Linked DNA regions of Oryctolagus cuniculus. The protein of the gene in region 2 interacts with the protein of the main gene of each other region in a pairwise test. Links are inferred from orthologs where the notes say so. Each region holds a gene or a part of one and is shown on either strand. Other genes may lie near its edges. The genes, in order: ANP32B and KPNA5.

Region 1 (4,491 bases), on a different chromosome or scaffold from region 2:
AGAGGGTTCTGTGGCCCAGTGCCGGCCCCTCTGGCCACTTGTTGCTCTTTGAACAGTAAAAATGGGGCAGGACCAACGACTGGCCTAATTAAAACTTTAATAGTCACACGCATCTTGGCAAGGTGGTCAAAAACTAAACTGATTACTTGAAAAAACTAATACTTTCACACACACATATTTTTAAAGCTATACTGCTCCATATGAGAAAGGGCACCATGGACTGGGAACAGCAGTGGCACTTATTTAGCAGAGAAAACTACTTGCTCCGAGCGTTTTAGCAGGCTTTTGGTTTGAGAATCCAGAAATTTAGATTTTAAAGACCTATGTCTGGGCTGGTGCCGCGGCTCACTTGGCTAATCCTCTGCCTGCGGCGCTGGCACCCCGGGTTCGAGTCCCGGTTGCTTCTCTTCCAGTCCGGCTCTCTGCTGTGGCCCCAGAAGGCAGTGGAGGATGGCCCAAGTGTTTGGGCCCCTGCACCTGCATGGGAGACCAGGAGGAAGCATCTGGCTCCTGGCTTTGGATCGGCGCAGCGCCGGCTGTAGCGGCCATTTGGGGGGTGAACCAACGGAAGGAAGGCCTTTCTCTCTGTCTCTGTCTCTCTCACTGTCTGGCAGAAAAAAAGAAAAAAAAAAAAAAAGACCTATGTGTGCACCTTTCTTAGGGGGAATTTTGGCTAAATTTAGATACTGTATTGATTCCCAACTTCCAAGCAATAATGGAAACTCTGGCGTTAAGCCCTCCAGGTGAGAACGAGCTCTTCAAGGTGTCTAACCACGCAACACGCAGCACGTGGCGGGCACAAAATGTCTGACTCGACCCCGACACCCGCCAAAAGGCCACCCACCCAACTCGGGGTTTCAGGGCGCCACCACGCGCGCCCGCTGACCTCAAGGCCTGCAGGTAAACAGCCCGGTCGGCCGATCCCACCAAGTGTGCAACTTGCTAACCACAGCCACCTGAGCACCCGCCACGCGGCCTCCTGCCGCCAGCGACTCACCCGCCGCGGGCTCGGGCGGCCGCGCGCCGCCTCTCCACGCGGGGGCTCGCGCTCGCTGCGATACAAGAGGCGACGCTCCCGGGCCGGGCCCACGCACACGCAGCAGCGGCCCGAGGCCGGCCGCGGCAGGCCGCACCCTGGCACGTGCGGGGGCACAGGCCACCGCACGGCCCTGCGCCGGCCCCAAGACCGCGCGAACGCCCGCGCGCCAGGCCTGCCGTTGCCCTTTTAAGAAGGGGGGAGGGCGCCGGCAGCGCGCCCGCGAGGGGACGAGTCGGCTGCAGCCGTAGCGCGCGGCGACCGCCAGTGCGAGCCGAGCCCCGGCGGGACGGGACACACCGAAGGCTCGGCCCGGGAAAGCGCGGCGGGCGAGGGCGAGCGGGCCGCGCCGGAGCTCCGAGCCGCTCGGCCGGCCGCCTCACGCGGCGGAGGGAGACGGGCGCCCGCCAACATGGCGCTGTGGCGGCCTGTGGCGCGCCCGGGCTGGCGCGAGCGGCCGCCGCCCGCCCACACCGAGGGGCCAGCCTCCCGGGGCAGGGGCCCCCGGGCTCCGCGGCGGCGACTGCGACTGCGACGGCGGGGGTGGGGAGGGCCCGGCCGCCGCCACAACGCCTGCCCGTGGCCCGCCCTGAGGGGGCCGCAGGGAGGATGGCTGAGGGCGTCTCAAAGGAGAGCGAGGGCAATGGGGGAGAAAGTTTTATTTTTAGGCTTGAAAAATGGCGGGAACCGCGTCCTTTTTTCAAACTTGGCCTCGGGAGGGGCGGCGGTTGCGCCACCTCCGCCGCCCAGGCCCGCCCCTCCCCCGCTCCGCGCGCCAGGCCGCGCCCGCCCGGGCCCCCCAGCGCCCGAGGGGGCTTCTGGCCCCCTTCAAAGGAGCAGAGCCCCCTTGCTCGCCCCCGCGGCCCCTGCCCTCGGCCGGGCCGACGCCAACCGCGAGGCCCGGCCGGCGCAGCCCCCCGCCCTGCCCGCCGCCGGCTCCCGCTCCCGGGGCCGGCCCGGGGCGTGCGGAGTCCGGCGTGGCCGGCGGCGGGCCCAGCCGGGGATGGCCGCGCGGCTCCCGGGCAGGCCCGCCTCCGCCCGGCCGCGCATCCCGGGAGGCTGCAAACATGGCTCCCAGCGTTACACAACCCCCCGCCTCCTTCTCTCGCCGCCGGCCACACGCACACGCGCTCCCTCCGGGAGAGGACCCCGGCGGGCGAGGAGCTCAAAGTTTGCGCTCCCTCACCCCGTCGCCTTCCCCGGGCGGCCGCGAGGGCCCGCGGGCGCCAAAGAGTTAATCCCCGCGCGCTCGCTCCCCCCCTCCGCCCGCGCCCGCCCGCCCGCCCGCCTTCCCCGTCCCAGCCCGCGAGCTGCGCCCTTCCCCGCGCCGGAGCCCGCGAACCCGCGGCCCGGGGCCCCCGCAGGTGGCCACCATTACATGCAAGTCATCGGGGGGGAAAGGGCGCCCGACGGGGGCTCTGCTTACAGCTGCCGGGGTCCGGTTCCTCAGCTCCAGGTGGATCCTCCTCTTCATGTCCATGTTCCCCTCTTCCCCCCTCTTCAAACTTAACTTTCCGCGGCGGGGGCGGAGGGGGGAGAGGCGTCCCGGCCTGCGCAGCGAAGGCCGTCGGAAGGGGGTCTGCTCGCGGCGGAGGCCGGCGGCGCGGTCCCAGGCGGCGTGCGGCGTGCGGGCAAGGCGAGCGGAGCCCCCGGAGCCAAGTTACTCACGGGAGCGGAGAGAAACCATGGAGGGAAAAGGGGGCTGGAGCGCAGCGCTGCTCTCACTACCGCCGCCCCCGGCCGCGGCCTCGCACTGCGCTTAAACCGGCGACGCGGCGCGGCGGCTGCTCGGCTCCACTCGGCCCCGCGCGGCGCCGCTCGGCTCCGCGGCCGCGGCTGCTCCGAGGACGGGGCGGGGAGGCGCGGCGGGAGGGCGGGGCGGGGGCGGGGGGAGGCGCAGCCCCGGGGAGGGGAGCGACTTCCTCCCTCCCTCCGCCTGCACGTGGGGCGGCTGATGTAAGACCTTGCTCGGGGGCTTCTCCGCCTGCCGCCGGGCCGAGACCCCCGGCCCGCCTCGCTGTGCTCTGCGATGGGGTGGGGCAGGGCTGGCGGGAGGCCCTCCTGTCGGGGATCGGGGGTCGCGAGGGGCGAGTCGGTCCGCGGAGGCTCCCCCGACGCCCGCGGAGGCGCGAGATGGGCAGAGAACTCGGCGCGGGGGCCTGGGGGTCGCCCTTCCGTTCCACCCCCTCCCCCTGCACAATCGGGGGCCGACGGCCCGAACCCTGGCGCCTCCTGGGCCGGGTGGCGTCGGACGCGCAGCCCAGGACCCAGGGGTGGGCGGCATCGCGGCGGGCCCGAGCTGCAGCGCGTGGCAGCGGGCGGAGTTGGCCCCGGGCCCGGCCGCCTGCCTCAGCCTCAGAGCCGCCGAGCGTCCCCCCGCCGCGGAGGCTCTCCCTCGCTTTTCTGACATTTTGATGCCCGAGAGGACTTCCGAAGGAAACAATGAGCATTTCCGCGGGGCGGCGTGGGGGGTGGGGGGGGCCTCGCAGTTACACCGTTCTCCCCGCTCACGTCTAGCGCAGTTACAACCTAGGGCCCCCCGTGAGGCACGCCGAGTCTCGGTGGTATCCATTTTGGTGACGCCTGTCAGGCCGCCTTTGTCATGCTCCGGCTCCAGGGGTCCCACGGTTAGAGCCCCAGGTCCGGGCCGTAGAGTTATACTCAGCAGAAAGTAAATAAACAGCATGGTATGTGCAGTCGGATACCTTCTTATTTCTAGTGTGGACAAGAGGCAGTTTTTTACAGAAAAAACTCCATGCATTAACTGAGATAGTTTTATGGGACTGAAGCCCCTTCCCCCGTGGTTTTACCCAAGTGGCAGACTATAAATAGCCCAAACTTAGTTTTGAAGCAATTACATATCAGTTTTTATGATAATGAATTCTCATTTCAAGAGGACGTTTTAGAAGGATTACGGAAAGAGGCGAATCTTCCCAGTTGGGAGTTTCCTCCTCTCCTTGTAGTCTCAGCCACACAGCCGTGGAGAGGGAAAGTGGAGAGGGGTGTGCTCCTCGGGAAGGCACCTGGGGACCTGTCATTGGGAACCAGGCAATGAGGGCTTTTATCAAAAAATTACAGGCAGCTACCAAGCATGCACCTTTAGGGGCTTGCTACGTTCTTTCTCGTGTTATCCCCTGACAACCCTGTCAGGCAGGTGACCCTTTCATCATGTCACCGATGGAGAAGCGAGGCCCAGGAACCGCAAGCAGTACCCCCACCAAGAGGTGGAACTAGGCGGGTCTGGTGGGTCAAAGCTGCACCATCAGTCTGGCTAGAGTGGAGTCCCGGGGTGGGGACCTGCTTTGGTGTGGTAGGCTGGGAACAGTGACAAGAGGGCGTTCAGGACCAAACAGCCTGCAGGTAAAGGGGAGATGTTGGCCGGGCCTTGAAGCGGTAGCTCAGAGAGAAAGTGTGGTCACCTAGTGGCTGAGGGGGAGGTGACATTGTGGCTCAGG
Region 2 (3,803 bases):
CTCTAAAAGAGGTGGAAGTATTTCACAGTTCAAAACAAAATCTCTGCATTCTGCATTATCACCAGCAATATTACCAAGTGCCCAAACAGCCTTAGCAATACAAGAAAAAAGTGTTATTTTAAAATAGTACCTTAAATAAAATGCTTTCTCTAAGAAGGGAATTTTAATACAAAATGAACAAAGCAATAGTTTTCAACAATATATGAAATTAAAAGCCAGGGCAATAAGAAAAGAAAATCTACAAAATTTAATTTAATATTATTTCTAATGAAATTGGAAGTGAGAGTATTTTTAAAGTTTTCTTCCAAAGCAGTGGAATGTCAGTACTATTCAACAAAGTAAATTTGTCAACTCTGAATCCACATAGAGAGACAAAAACCATCTATCTGGTCAATTTTCCAATTACTTATACTAGAAATTTGCCAAGAACTTCTCTTATTAGAAGAGACTGTTTCGGGGCCAGCACTGTGGCACAGAGGATAAAGACACTGCCTGCAGTGCCAGCATCCCATCTGGGTGCCCACTCGAGACTCAGCTGCTCTGCTTCCAATCCAGCTCTCTCCTATGGCCTGGGAAAGCAGAAGATGGCCCAAGTCCTTGGGCCCTGCACTCGCGTGGGAGACCCAGAAGAAGCTCCTGGCTCCTGGCTTCAAAACGGTGCAGCTCTGGCCATTGCAACCAATTGGGGAATGAACCAGCAGATGGAAGATGTCTCTCTCTCTCTTTCTGCCTCACCTTCTCTCTCTGTGTAACTCTGACTTTTAAATAACTAAATCTTAAAAAAAAAAAAAAAGAAAAAAAAAGGGACTGTTTTGTAAAATAACAAAAGTAAATAAAGACAAAGAAAAATGAGGCAATAGCTTAGATTGATCCTGAAAATAAATTTAGGATTAAGATTTCACTATATGTTTTAAAACGAATGACAGCAAAATGTCAAATTATTCACTTAAATAAGAAATTTTGCAAATTATCATTTTAATATATTTTCACTTAAATATTTTATATAAATACAAAAATACATGTTATTTCTTCAACTGAGAAACTTTAATTTTAACATTTAAAACATGAGTTAATATTTTTAACATCTACTCTAGTAGAACTAAGCTTGTCTTTAAAGTAAACATACTATCTACCCCATGAAGTATAATAGATTGCTGATGGAACATTACTTAGAATAATATTGTTGGTCAACTTTGGAGGCTACTAAGAGTCTTAAGAAATTTCTATCTTTTGACAGAGTAGTCATTTTCCCTAATGAACCAATATAAAGGCACATTAAGAAAGATAAATAATGATGGATAAATAATGATGTTCATCACTTTTCCTTAAGAATATGACGTTAAAAATAACTCAAATGTACAACAATTGAGGACTAGATAGAATATGGTACATATCTAAGTGGATTTATTAATTAATCAGTAAAATTTTCTTGGAAGAATAACACCAGAAGAAAGGCTTCCAAAACAAAAGAAAGGCTTAAAACAAAAATGCCAATACTTGATTTTCTTAGAAGAGTACAATTATATAATACTAAATTTTCCCTCGTAACAAATTTATTCATGAATTTTATGAAAATGGTTCTATTAAAAGTAAAATGATATTTTAAAAGTAACAACAAAATAATCCACATACATGCAAAGAATAAGGAGTCAGTTTAGCCCCGGTTTAAAACCTGGTTCAGCCATTCCCTATGATGGATATGTTACTAACTTTTCTGTGGCTCAGTACTGTGCTTTATAAATAGGAATAGTAATTCCTGTGCTAGATGAGATCACTTACAGGGAATCCAGGATTATGCCTCAGACAATTCATTGCTCTTACAATTATGCACTACAAAGAAACTACTATATTTTAATAAATGCACAGTACAGGCAATTAGATACAAAAGTGGAATATAATCATAAATGGTACTTTGAAAATTTAAATATAGCTCATAAAACAGTATAAATTAGAAACTTACTTGTTCCTGAACATCTTCATGTTCTGAATTAAGAAGTTTGATAAAAATTGGAACAGCCCCTGTTTCAATCACTACTTTGGTATGTAGAAAAGTTCCGGATGCTATGTTAGTTAATGCCCATGCAGCTTCAAACTAAAGAGACAAAAAGTGAAATAAATGAAAACACCAAAGAAATATCAGAATGGAAAAGACTAAAGATTTAGTTAGACAAATCTAAAAGAAAGACTGATTTTGATTATTCAGATTCACTGTGAAGTTGGATTTCCTATATAGAAACTCTTAATTAAGAAGTGTTTTTTCCGCCGGCGCCGCGGCTCAATAGGCTAATCCTCCACCTAGCGGCGCCGGCACACCGGGCTCTAGTTCCGGTAGGGGCGCTGGATTCTTTCCTGGTTGCCCCTCTTCCAGGCCAGCTCTCTGCTGTGGCCCGGGAAGGCAGTGGAGGATGGCCCAAGTCCTAGGGCCCTGCACCCCATGGGAGACCAGGAGAAGCACCTGGCTCCTGCCTTCGGATCAGTGCGGTGCGCCGGCTGCAGTGCACCAGCCGTGGTGGCCATTGGAGGGTGAACCAACGGCAAAGGAAGACCTTTCTCTCTGTCTCTCTCTCTCACTATCCACTCTGCCTGTCAAAAAAAAAAAAAAAAAAAAAAGTGTTTTTTCACTCTGGAAAAAAAAGAACTCAGAATATAAGGAAAATATAAACACATTTGAATTTATACTTCAGAAAACTGCTTATTATTGAGAATCAAGTGTTCTCCAGCAAGTAGTTTATATAAATAAGATATATTACTTTTTTATAGAAAGCTTTTATTTAATAAATATAAATTTCAAAAGTACAAATTTTGGATTATAGTGGATCTTCCCCCTATACCCAGCCTCCCACCCCCAAAGCATCTCACCTCCTACTCCCTCTCCTATCTCATTCTTCATTAAGATTCATTTTAATTATGTTTATACACAGAAGATTGACTCTGTATTCAGTAAAGAGTTCAACAGTTTGCACACACAGACACAGAAAATATAAAGTACTGTTTGAAGATTAGTTTTACTGTCAATTCTTATAGTACAACACATTAAGGACAGAGGTCCTAAATGGGGAGTGAGTGCACAGTGACTAATGTTGATTTAACAATTGACAGTCCTATTTATGACGTCAGTGATCACCCAAGGCTCTTGTCATGAGCTGCCAAGGCTATGGAAGCATCTTGAGGCCACAGACCCCGACATTATTTAGAACTTAAACTGATCACTTTAGAAGCCGGCGCCGTGGCTCAATAGGCTAATCCTCCACCTTGCGGCGCCGGCACACCGGGTTCTAGTCCCGGTTGGGGCGCCGGATTCTGTCCCGGTTGCCCCTCTTCCAGGCCAGCTCTCTGCTATGGCCAGGGAGTGCAGTGGAGGATGGCCCAGGTGCTTGGGCCCTGCACCCCATGGGAGACCAGGAAAAGCACCTGGCTCCTGGCTCCTGCCAGGATCAGCGCGGTGCGCCGGCTGCAGCGGCGGCCATTGGAGGGTGAACCAGCGGCAAAAGGAAGACCTTTCTCTCTCTGTCTCTCTCTCTCACTGTCCACTCTGCCTGTCAAAAAAAAAAAAAAAAAAAAAAAAAAAAAAAAAAAAAAAAAAAAAGAACTTAAACTGATCACTTTAGTAAGATGGCATTGGTACCCGCCAACTTAATAGGATTTGGAGTACCATGGCAAGTTTTTAGCTTTACCCTCAGGGTTAAGTCCAAGGGAACATGTGCCAAACTGTACAGCTCCTCCCTTCTTATACTCGCTTTTATTTTGAACAGGGATCAATTTCAACCAGATTTAAACACCTAAGAATACTTCCGTGTTAAGTA

The links.
Region 1: the proteins of KPNA5 (region 2) and ANP32B interact in binary tests that used the Homo sapiens proteins (3 or more experiments, as listed by UniProt). The two-hybrid records come from large-scale screens. The link is inferred for Oryctolagus cuniculus from reciprocal best matches to the Homo sapiens genes KPNA5 and ANP32B.

Annotation. Positions count from the first base shown.
Region 1 is NC_091432.1:201,785,629-201,790,119, reverse strand, and holds the start of ANP32B (acidic leucine-rich nuclear phosphoprotein 32 family member B), read right to left. Parts: upstream 2,875-4,491; 5' UTR 2,517-2,874; coding exon 2,463-2,516; intron 1-2,462. UniProt on the Homo sapiens protein: Multifunctional protein that is involved in the regulation of many processes including cell proliferation, apoptosis, cell cycle progression or transcription.
Region 2 is NC_091436.1:53,689,773-53,693,575, forward strand, and holds part of KPNA5 (importin subunit alpha-6), read right to left. Parts: intron 2,093-3,803; coding exon 1,961-2,092; intron 91-1,960; coding exon 2-90; intron 1-1. UniProt on the Homo sapiens protein: Functions in nuclear protein import as an adapter protein for nuclear receptor KPNB1. Binds specifically and directly to substrates containing either a simple or bipartite NLS motif.